3 linked regions of the Schizosaccharomyces pombe genome follow. The gene in region 2 interacts genetically with the main gene of each other region. Each region holds a gene or a part of one and is shown on either strand. Other genes may lie near its edges.

Region 1 (3,837 bases), on a different chromosome or scaffold from region 2:
GATCTATACACCTTGGTCCTTTTAAAATTGTTTTGATTCGACCCATTTCTTGTTCAATGGATTGACAAGCTCTTAAAAGATTGATAGGCGACATTCTGGTTTCAATTTTGCAAACACCGTTCAAAAAAGAAGGTTGGTCTTTATAATACATCGGCTCTGTTTCGTACAAAGGGGAAACATCCAACACACGAATACCCTCTATTTTATGCAACATAGATAATGCTGTTTGGATTTGCTCAAATTTGTCACCAATATTTGAACCAAAAGACAAATAAGCAATTTTGTTCTTAGTGGATTCGTATTTATGCAGAGACTCTTGTAAAAAGTACGACCGTGTTCGATAAATTTGCACCGCAGAAGCATTGGCGAATGTGATAGCACTAGGTTTCTCAGCTTTAATGCTTATATCGTCTAGATTCTTTGTAAAACAAAGATACTTTGAAAGATTGACAACCAAAGCTTCTATAGTCAGGAAAGCAGATTGTTCGACATATTCGGCGATTGCGCGCGCGATCTCTAAAGCTTCGACCTCCGTATTTGCAAATGATATATTTAAGCAAACTCTTTGCTTCTCTTGTCGTTCAAATGCGTGAATTCCTAATATCGTAGCTAACTCCAAATCCGAGAATTCAATACGATCTACAAAGTTACTGGTAGAATTGCGTTCGCGCTCAGCATAATAGTGCAATCCATTTTTAGACCTTAAAACACATTTGGGTAAAGTAAGCTTAATAGAAACATGCGAGGTATCAATAACGTCTTCAAAACATAAACTTGCAATTTTATTGACCAAATCTTTAGGGGTTGTAAAAAAAGACCCTTCAATTTCTTTTCGTAATAGCTTAGAAGCTATACCGTAATGAATCGTTGATTTTAACTCGTCTTTTTCTCCAGCTAACTGAACATTGTTTCTCATATATACATCAATTTGCACTGGCTGAGGTTCCTTTCTTTTCCATTGGTCTTGACCCACTACAGCAAATGTGTTAAGATTTTCAACTACGACAGTGTCATGTATCAAGTCCATTTGTCTAGTAGGATGTCGTAGAGATGAGAAGCGGAGTTGTCTGGGGATAGTGCTGACTATTCTAGGTATTTTGGCAAAACCATGGAGAGAATTATTTCTAATGAATGGATAGATTCCCCAAAGGTTTACTAAACTTTTCATGAGAGTTTAAAGAATTGATTATCTATATTGGAAGTATTTGCTGAAGCGACCAACACCATGATAAGTAAGAATAAGCAATACCTACGGTATCCTGATGTCAATTATCTAAAATGAAGGCATATGGGATAAAGAATTGTAGCATTATTTGACTGTTATTAAATTTAATTCATTATTGAATACAGCTGGGAATATGTATATACTCTGATCATTTCTATGGAGCATAGAGCGATACTGAGAAATAATATTATAAGAGATTTGTCAGATGACTACATTAATGTGCTACAAATCATTATACCCGAAAATAGAAATAAGGGAGAATCAAGTTTGATTAAATATAAAACATTCCAACAACTTTGTGAAACTCAACCTTACGCTATCAGCTTAAAAGCAGAAGGAAATTAGTAGAGAAAAAAAATCAAATTGCCATGTTCAAAATTAATAAAATTTGAAAAACATTCTACTAAAAAATGCCGTAAATTACTAAATCAATTTCTGTCAGCGTTGATGAAGTAACTTCCCATTCAATTTTAAATCTTTCATTAGCATACTTCTATGAACTGGATAGCAGCAGTAATTGAACATGCGATGTCAATATTTAGATTTTAAATATTTTACATATTGTAAATGTAGTTAAGCATGTATACTCCATTAATGAAAATGTAATCTTTCATACATATTTCGTCTGCGCTGGCTTCAGTACTTAGCCTACCTTAGGATTGTTCCCACTAATTTTCAATTTCGTTGATTTTACACACTGCTTCTTATTCTCGTAAATACCACTTTCCTAAGGAATACTTAGCGGAAAAAGAAATTTCTAAAAAAATGGAGGAATGGAGAAACTTCTTAGATATTAAAGTTATCAATGAATCTTCACTTGTAAGATATGAAATTTCAACAAGAATTTGAATGTCTAACTGTATAAAAGGTAACTGTAGATAATTTAAGTCTGCAATTGGATATATCCAGTGAAAAAGCACAAGAGTAAGGAACAATACGCATTATTTTTTATTTTTATTATTAATAATTCATACTTTCAGATATCTTAATATGTTTTATCAAGGCAACGATTTTTTGTATCCTATATACCTTATTCATGGACAACCTATAGATGATGAAATTAATTTGGAAATTGACGAGGAATCTCAACCTATATCTAATTTTCCTGTTTTGCAATACATTTTGTGTGATAAGTCTTCTCTACAAGGTTTGTTATTGTCAATTCCGATCATTCGATAGCAGATTCGCTAACTATTTGTAGAGAAACAAAGTAGATTGAAAAGTGGGTATAAAACTGTTATATTTGCTCTTTCATCTGCTCCATTAAGTGTAAGTATTCGATAAGCTGTATTTTATATTGTTACAAACTAATTGATTTAATTAAGGATTTTGACGAATTATTACCTGCAGTATATGAAATAAGAGAGAAAGATGTTTTATACAAAAAAGAAGATGCTGATAAGTATGGATTTATTTTCAATGAAAATTCCGTGGTAAGTAATTTATATCACAACAATCGTTGTTTGACATTCGATCCTTCCGTCTTCGGAAGACTAACTTATTGTAGCCTCGTGTTTTGAAAAAGGCACCTTCAACTCATTCCCCCCAATTATCTGTTCCCTCAAAGACATCGACAATCGATAAGACTGACACACGTAGTACAGAAAAGACTAAAGGGAAAGATATTTTCAGTAATGCAAGGAACCAAAAGGGAAACTCATCTCGTAAAAATAAAAAAGCTCCTCTTGAAAATCATAAAGAAAAGGAGCCTCTCTTGCCAAAGGAGGAGAAGTTGTCTGAGCAAGCAAAGAGAGAGCGCGATGATCTGAAAAATATTATGCAGCTAGAAGATGAATCAGTATCTACCACTAGCGTTCACGATTCTGAAGATGATAATTTAGATTCTAATAATTTCCAATTGGAAATTGGTACCGAAGCAAAATCTGCTGCACCTGACGAACCTCAGGAAATTATCAAATCCGTATCCGGTGGAAAGAGACGTGGGAAAAGAAAAGTTAAAAAGTACGCGACAACGAAAGATGAAGAAGGATTCTTGGTTACTAAGGAAGAAGAAGTCTGGGAATCATTTTCTGAAGATGAAAACATCTCAACTGGTACTTCAAATGTTGTTAGAAACAAACCGACTACTGTAAACATTGCAACTAAGAAGAAGAATACTGCACAAAGTAAACCACAACAAAAGTCTATTATGTCCTTTTTTGGAAAGAAATAAGTTACTATTCATTTTCGATAGTATTAAAACATGTGTTCACGAAGTCCCTTCAATTCTCATGCAAGCTATTATCAGGAGTTTTATTCATATAGAAAAACTGTTAATGTTAGTACAACCTTTAATCCTAATCTACTGTTTTTAGTTTTGTTTACACTATTCACAACCAACTATGTAAGTCTAAGAGAAGTCGAAATCAATTATCAATACATCTTTTAATTTTAAATATCATAAATAAATATGTTTCCTCAAAGCATAGAAGAATCGATTCTTTTTTTTATTAGAAGTATTAAATACTCCATACATTAATGAACCACAATGCGTTAATGTGCGTTAACTACAACACATAATTTGAAAGTTGAACTTCATATTTAGTCAAAGCCTTGTATATTGGAAGTAGTCATGGGCAAAAAGCAGACGAAGCCTATTAATGCTAAATCAA
Region 2 (3,837 bases):
GTGTACCAAGCCTAAGGAATGTAATGAAAAGAAGTAGTAAAGAGGACCGCTTTTTTGATATAGTGATTTTGAGACGCTTATTTCCTTTCCTAGAATTTTGAATTTGATTAGGTAGCTGGAGCATCTTTATAAAAATTTTACTGTTCCAGTCAATAGCTTGGAATACACGAACACATGCCAATCCATTATTCCAAGATGCCATTTTTTGAAGTAGAGAAAGCGTATGCAAAGGAGAATTGGATGTCAAATTCCGATATATCTGCTTCAAATGATGATCTAAAATTGCATCAATATAACGAAGGGCAGATTTATCGAACTCAACGGTCTTTAAAACTTTTTCCACATGAGCAGGATGCTCTAATAAAACCCTGCTCAATTCATCTATCTCTACATGGAGTTAGCATAATTGTAATGACTAAATTGACTCACCCTTATCCAAATCAATAGATCCAGATTCCATTTTGCCAGAAAATTGGCTACTGAACACTTACTGACAAGGTGTTCAAGTGATGGTGGATGCGAACATGTAAATTGTAAATACGTGAACAAATATATCAATCAAAAAATTAGCTAACCCAACGAAACTAACAAAAAAAATTTAATTATTCTTTGACATAAATATAAGTCACGCATTGTAGCAAAGATTGATTAATACAAGTTCAATACCCAAGTATACAGACAATGAAAGAAGGAACGCAATCGATTTCTTATTTAAAACCCAGAAATCTAAGCGAGAACCTCTACATTAATCATTATTGTAGTGTTCAGCTATTTGTATGCGCATGAAAAGATTTAATTTCTCATTTCAAATCATGATAAAACATATACTCGTGAATTTATATAGAAAGCTCGAGGCAAGATATTGAGATAAGTTATGAAAATGATCTAATTATAAGCAAAAACATTAAGACTATTGGCTTAAATAACAAACGAGGAAATTAAAGAATATGGAAAAAAGGATTATATATGTTTTCTGAATTCAGATACCTTTTTCTTCTGCGAGACAAAGGCAATAACTTGTAAAGTTATTTGCAATGGCGGTAGAATTAAACATAGTAAGGTAAAAAAATAGGAAGGTGTGATTAAAGGTAGGACATTATGTATGTTTTCATATAAGGTCTCAAGATCCGAATTATTTTCTATTACAATGTCCGCAAGCTGACACTTAAGTTCAAGAGGCATCTGCGCTTGTACTCGGTTTTCAGCATCCTCTGCAGTAAGCTCAGGATTACGTGCCAGCAAACGTTGCTTTTGAATGCTTTTATCGCAAGACACGCAGATCGTTTTCCAGCAAATAAATTGCATTTTAGCTTCAAAAAGCAAAGGAACGTCCAAAATAACTATGCTGTAACCCCGTACGTAACATCGAAGCAGTTCTTTGAGCATTTCCAAACGTACTGCTGGATGTATTATTGAATTCAAAAGTGACCTCTTTCCTGCGTCTTGAAATACTGCCTGGCCAAGCTTTGCTCGATTCAAAGTGCCATCTTCATGTAATACTTCATTACCGAACTCTTTCTGAATTTTTATTAAGCAAGGTGTATTCGGTTCTACCACCTTTCTAGCTAACACATCAGCATCGATAATTTTTATATGATATTTCTCTTGAAACTCGCGAGAAACTGTAGATTTCCCTTAACTAGGTTAACCACTATTAAACCAATTGTTATTTGATAACTTACCCGTGGCAATTGAGCCGGTTAAACCAAGAATCAGCATTATATTTCTTATTCCTTGCTTTGGTATAGAAGATTTTTGAATAATGGTAACAATTAAGGAGATCAGAAAACTATTTAATGCCGTAGAACAAAGTCTTCAATCGCGGAAGTCGAAGTTTGAAATACAAAGGAATGTTGACAGATGGCAACCTTCACGTATACCAAAAAAATATAAATAGGGATTACTACTACTTAACAATTAACATTTAATCCTCACTACGTATAACGTACAGTAAAGTAGGTGGATGAAACATTGTTTATATTACTCGTGCTTCGCGAAAAATCTGGTATTGCAACAGTTCGTTATTATTGTCTTATGATACATTTTATATCGTAAAATTTATAACGATGTTTAAAGCGAAGTCAGTAAATCATAAGCCCTCGTCTGACATGATAACTGCTTCTTTGGTCTTTTTACTTCTGTTAAAAGCTTGATCACTCATTTGCACGTTTATTTGTGTTTACTGATATACATGGTTAAAGAATTCATCCAGTTTTTCTGTTTTTAAGATACTATGGAAGAACCAGAAGAAGCTACGCAGGCTACTCAAGAGGCACCACTACATGTTAGTCAGAACATAGCCAAACAGGTGGTTAACAACGAAAATGTATTTATGAAATTGGTTATGACTCGCATGCTTGATGGTAAGACAGAAGTGATTCCTCTTACTACAGATGTGCACAATGGGTTTTGGAGATTTGGACGTCATAAATCTTGTGAAGTGGTTTTAAACGGACCTAGAGTTAGCAACTTTCATTTTGAAATCTATCAGGTATATAAAATAATAGTGGCCAGCTGAACTCGTTTAGTTTTAATTGAACTTCAATCTCTTTAAGACATAATTATCTAACGAAATGACCCAGGGGCATAGAAATGATTCCGATGAATCTGAGAATGTCGTTTTTTTACACGGTAAGTCTAAAGGATTAAAAAATCTTTTAAAGTCTTCTGCCTCTTCCACCTTTTCTAACAATTTCAGACCACTCTTCTAATGGAACATTTCTGAATTTTGTAAGCGAGAGCTTAATTCGTTTACAATTTACTGACGTCATTTAGGAACGGCTTGCCAAGAATAGTAGAACTATCTTGTCAAACGGAGATGAAATTCGAATTGGCCTAGGTGTGCCGAAAGATGAAATTTGTACGTCCTTTACACTGAAGGAGATTGTTGACGTAGAATTCACTTCAAGTTTGCTTACAGTCTTATAGCTTTTTTGTGCCAGGTACCAGTTAAACATTCACGAGATTCCCAGAAAAACATGATTAAATCCGAGAACAGTCATTACGAAATTATTCGTACACTTGGAAGTGGTACATTTGCAGTTGTCAAGCTAGCGGTAGAAGTGAATAGTGGCAAGTGGTATGCTATTAAAATTATCAACAAACGAAAAATCCTTTTGACAAGTTCGGAAAAGCGAGCTACTGAAATGTTTCAACGAGAAATTGATATATTAAAATCTTTGCACCATGTGAGTATCATTTTATGTTCACCTTTTTTTATACGAAAAACTCCTAGCTAACACTTATCTTTTAGCCAGGAGTTGTACAATGCCATGAAATTTTTGAAAATGATGACGAGTTATTTATTGTTATGGAATATGTTGAGGGTGGGGATCTTATGGATTTTTTAATTGCTAATGGCTCCATCGACGAACAAGACTGTAAACCTCTTCTCAAACAACTTTTAGAAACGCTTTTACATTTGCACAAGCAGGGTGTGACACATAGAGACATAAAACCCGAGGTATATCTTGTTTATTGATAAGAAAGTCTAACTTGTAGAACATTCTTATAACAAATGATTTCCATCTTAAAATATCTGATTTTGGCTTGGCTAAAGTTATTCATGGGACGGGAACCTTTTTAGAAACATTTTGCGGGACAATGGGTTATCTAGCACCGGAAGTTTTGAAGTCAAAAAACGTCAACTTGGACGGAGGTTATGATGATAAAGTTGATATATGGAGTTTGGGATGTGTTTTATATGTGATGTAAGTTTGTCGGCTTTAATCAATTAGCAATGAACCTTCATGCCTTAATTTTTTCCAATTACTAATTCACAGGCTTACTGCGTCTATTCCTTTTGCATCTTCGTCACAAGCAAAATGTATTGAGTTG
Region 3 (3,600 bases), on a different chromosome or scaffold from region 2:
CTTCATGGATATCATCTGAATCTTCTAAGTTTTGAATTAAACCCCTTTCAGTGTTCATTGAAGCTCCTGGGTATGCATGATCGGTTTTTTTATTACTATTCGGACTATTCGACTGTCTCCCCCAATTCTTTTTTGCTCTTGCTGAACTTGAAACAAAAGACCGGTGCTGTTGGACTGGACTTTTAACGTTAGATGGTGGAGCAAAAGATGGGCTAAGACTAACTGAACGCTCACAATGAGAAATCCTTTCCTGCAGGCTTTGTAAATTTTCTTCAATACTTTTTAAACGCTCAACAAGGATGGAAAATTCAGGGTTCGTAAGCGAAGACTCATCATAACGATTATTGTGCGCTTTATTGTTGCTATCTTTCGAAATCGCTTTTAAGTTTGCTTCAAGGGAATTGAAATGAGAATCAGATAAGCTAGTAACACCTTCTAGCGATCTAGGAGCCGAATGAGATTTCGCGTCAGATTTTGGAGGTACAAATCGAAATCGCGGAGGGGGAGCGCTTGCAGGTGTTAAGTATGCCATGTCAAAAGAGTGATCTTGATTTAAATCTACCAATGGCTTAATTCGATCCTCATCTGAGATACGAATTTTAGATGCACTTAAGTGAGTAAAATTTTGTGATTGTGTACCAGCATTAGGTATTGACTCTTCATCTTTTTTTTGATCATTTAAAATATTTTTTCTTCGCTTAGGTGATAGGGAAGGCTCCTTCGATGGCCGTCGCTTTCGCTTTGAGGGTGAGTGATTCTTAACCACTGACTCACTAATTTGACCTTGTTGGCTTCGCTCCCATTCCAAATAATCGTTTTTTGTATCATTCCATAATTTCTTTAATTTTCCCAGCAGTCCAGCTGCAGGATTGAAACTCATCTCATGCCCAAATTATTTGGTGATTTAAATTCTAAATTCTTTGCAAACTGACTTCAATAATTATAGGAGTTACAAGATCGTGATTAACAATAATTTGCAACCAAAGGGTTATTAAACCTCAGGAAACTTGACAAAATTACGATCTTACCGAGCTCTACAGTACGGTCGTGAGTATTACCTAGTACACGTTAATGGCTTAATGCTTATTATGTAGTCTGTAATTAGCTTTAATGATACGTTAAATCACCAACAATCATCACTTATGTTGCTGTGAGCTCGATTATTAATTAAGTTGGTACGTGAAGTTAACCTTCTAACTTACTACTGAAGCTGCTCATAACTCAACCTCTTCCTCAGTCCAGTTGAGTTCTGTAGTGTTTTAATTTCCCGAAAACAAAAAAATTTTCCAATATCATTAAATAGGATGTTGAGAAAAAGAATATGTGCCACATATAAATATCATTGTTGAATTGCTGACTTGACAATTAATGCTAGGCCTACGATGCAATAGTAATCTAACCGTAAACATAATTTTACGAACGATTAGTATGTAATTACTGGACTTTTAGAAGAATTCTGAATATTCGCACATAAAAAATATTATTCGACAGATTCCATCGTTTCACATGAGTTTACATGAAATGCGCTCATTATCAAATTTGATGTGATGAACATTAATTAGATAAAAATGGTTTCATTGTTAGTTGAATGCGTTTGTTCCGAGTTTCTCCTTAACAATATACAGTTAATGATCTTATTGTTGTTGCTGTTGAAGTACACAGCACTTAAGTACAACTTTTGAGTGCTCTAAACTTTAGCGTGACCAGCAAAAGAGAGGTCAATACACTTAAAACCAAAAACGACTTTATTCGAATTCACTAAAAGGATTTTTTAGATTCTTGGTCCAGTACAGTGAAACGTAAAATCTGAAATATTCAAGGATTCGTGAAGATTTGGAAGCAAATAGTTTTTAATCTCATTAAATATATATTTTATTTTTTAAAAAGATTACAGATTATAGAAGCATAGTTTTACGAAATTGAAAGTTAGCATTTTCGCAACTCGTTGTTGGTATTGATAGTTAGTATCATTAGGTATGTGAGTACGTTAAAACCGATCTATCTCTAACTATTTGGGGAGATAATCAAACTGAAATACGTTTCTTAAGCTTAAGTAGCTTTGTTTGATTTATTAAGCAAATAAATATGCCAACTGTTGGTCTTACAGGGCCATTATGTAGTGGAAAAGATGCCGTTGTTGAATACCTTGAGACAAAGCATGGTTTCAATGCTATTTTTCGATTACCACAACTAAACGAGGATGGAGAATATATATATAGAACTGGCGATTTAGTCCTTGGCAGCGTTGACGATCTTATTAGCTATCTCACTCCAAGATGGCGCGAAAGATTTGTAATTAATGGAATTCATAGTCCACGTTTGTTAAGTGCATTGCTCAAACGTCCGTTCTTTTTGCTTGTATATATTGATGCCCCAATTATGCTCAGGTTCAATCGCTACAAAACGTATGTAATATTGCAATGTCAACATGTTGTTGCTAACTTTAAATTCATTGTCATTATTCTTCACGCAATGTGTTCAGTGTAAGGACCTTAATATCTTGTTAGTTTCATTCATTTCATGCTCGAAATTACACGGTTACATAAGCTCCTCATGATTAACTGAATATTGCGTGAAATAATAATGATGACATATAGTTATTCTTCTCTTGCGAATACCACACTTGAAGAATTTTGTAGTATCCAAGACGCGGCTGCATTTCAATCTGATAATGCTGGAACTCGACACCGAGCATTGGCTAATTTACTTATAAATAATGATAGCAATATTAAACTTCATCTATGGGAGAAGCTTCAAAAAGCCGATCTTTTGAATCCCAATAGATTTCGCCCATCATGGGATTCGTACTTTATGGAAATGGCAAGTCTGGCTGCGAAGCGTAGCAATTGTATGAAACGTCGCGTCGGTTGCGTACTTGTGCGAGGAAATCGTGTTATTGCGACAGGCTACAATGGAACACCTAGAGGAGCCACTAACTGTAATGAAGGCGGATGTCCACGTTGCAATTCTGCTTCTTCCTGTGGAAAAGAACTTGATACCTGTCTTTGTCTTCATGCCGAAGAAAACGCTCTTTTAGAGGCTGGCCGTGAACGCGTTGGAAACAATGCAATATTATACTGTGATACGTATGTAAATATAGACATAAAGCTACTAACAGTCGAAAGATGTCCCTGTCTTACGTGTTCTGTCAAGATTACTCAGCTTGGGATTAAAGAAGGTATGTTTCAGTTCTTTAATCTTTTACTAATGCTCAGTTGTCTATCATACGTCTTACAACATGGACTCCCATACCGCTTCTCTCCTTCAAGCCGCAGGAGTTCAATTACGACAATATATTCCTCCGGAAAACAGCATTTTCTAAGTTAATAACAGAACTTACTTTTTAGATTACCGCTCTTTTTGATTGCAGAAAATACGATTTTAATATCTTTATTTAATACTTACAATATTGATGAGATAACAATCAAATAATACAATAATTATTATTGAGCTATAGGAATATTTAATCGTATTTAAGTAACTTTTTCAAAACTGATACCATTTCCTCACGTGGCACAAGCTGACCTTCATCGCTATTTTCTTTTAAACCCATTTGTTTAATACGAACAGATCCCTTTGCAAACTCATCTTGACCCAAAA

What was found.
Region 1: mutations in cds1 (region 2) and cdc27 impair growth when combined (synthetic growth defect), as found in Schizosaccharomyces pombe (3 studies listed by BioGRID, with this or other methods).
Region 3: mutations in cds1 (region 2) and dcd1 are lethal when combined (synthetic lethality), as found in Schizosaccharomyces pombe (2 studies listed by BioGRID, with this or other methods).

The regions. Positions count from the first base shown.
Region 1 is NC_003423.3:1,061,531-1,065,367, reverse strand, and holds cdc27 (DNA polymerase delta subunit Cdc27), read left to right. Parts: upstream 1-1,943; 5' UTR 1,944-1,990; coding exon 1,991-2,044; intron 2,045-2,093; coding exon 2,094-2,149; intron 2,150-2,205; coding exon 2,206-2,372; exon of another isoform or gene 2,373-2,426; coding exon 2,427-2,494; exon of another isoform or gene 2,495-2,550; coding exon 2,551-2,658; exon of another isoform or gene 2,659-2,732; coding exon 2,733-3,398; 3' UTR 3,399-3,650; downstream 3,651-3,837. Other genes in the region: fol1 (dihydropteroate synthase), read right to left, coding at 1-1,168; pre-rRNA processing protein Esf1, read left to right, coding at 3,798-3,837.
Region 2 is NC_003421.2:739,627-743,463, reverse strand, and holds the start of cds1 (replication checkpoint kinase cds1), read left to right. Parts: upstream 1-2,125; 5' UTR 2,126-2,233; coding exon 2,234-2,491; exon of another isoform or gene 2,492-2,582; coding exon 2,583-2,631; exon of another isoform or gene 2,632-2,698; coding exon 2,699-2,730; exon of another isoform or gene 2,731-2,775; coding exon 2,776-2,860; exon of another isoform or gene 2,861-2,928; coding exon 2,929-3,188; intron 3,189-3,253; coding exon 3,254-3,463; intron 3,464-3,501; coding exon 3,502-3,710; exon of another isoform or gene 3,711-3,782; coding exon 3,783-3,837. Other genes in the region: ribosome biogenesis protein Urb1, read right to left, coding at 1-387, 430-460; cab5 (dephospho-CoA kinase), read right to left, coding at 961-1,634, 1,683-1,719. UniProt on the Schizosaccharomyces pombe protein: Has a role in the DNA replication-monitoring S/G2 checkpoint system. It is responsible for blocking mitosis in the S phase.
Region 3 is NC_003423.3:3,458,720-3,462,319, reverse strand, and holds the start of dcd1 (deoxycytidylate deaminase), read left to right. Parts: upstream 1-2,000; 5' UTR 2,001-2,085; coding exon 2,086-2,405; exon of another isoform or gene 2,406-2,553; intron 2,554-2,597; coding exon 2,598-3,086; intron 3,087-3,125; coding exon 3,126-3,178; intron 3,179-3,215; coding exon 3,216-3,322; 3' UTR 3,323-3,463; coding exon of another isoform or gene 3,464-3,600. Other genes in the region: protein Csi1, read right to left, coding at 1-880; histidine--tRNA (His) ligase Hrs1, read right to left, coding at 3,464-3,600.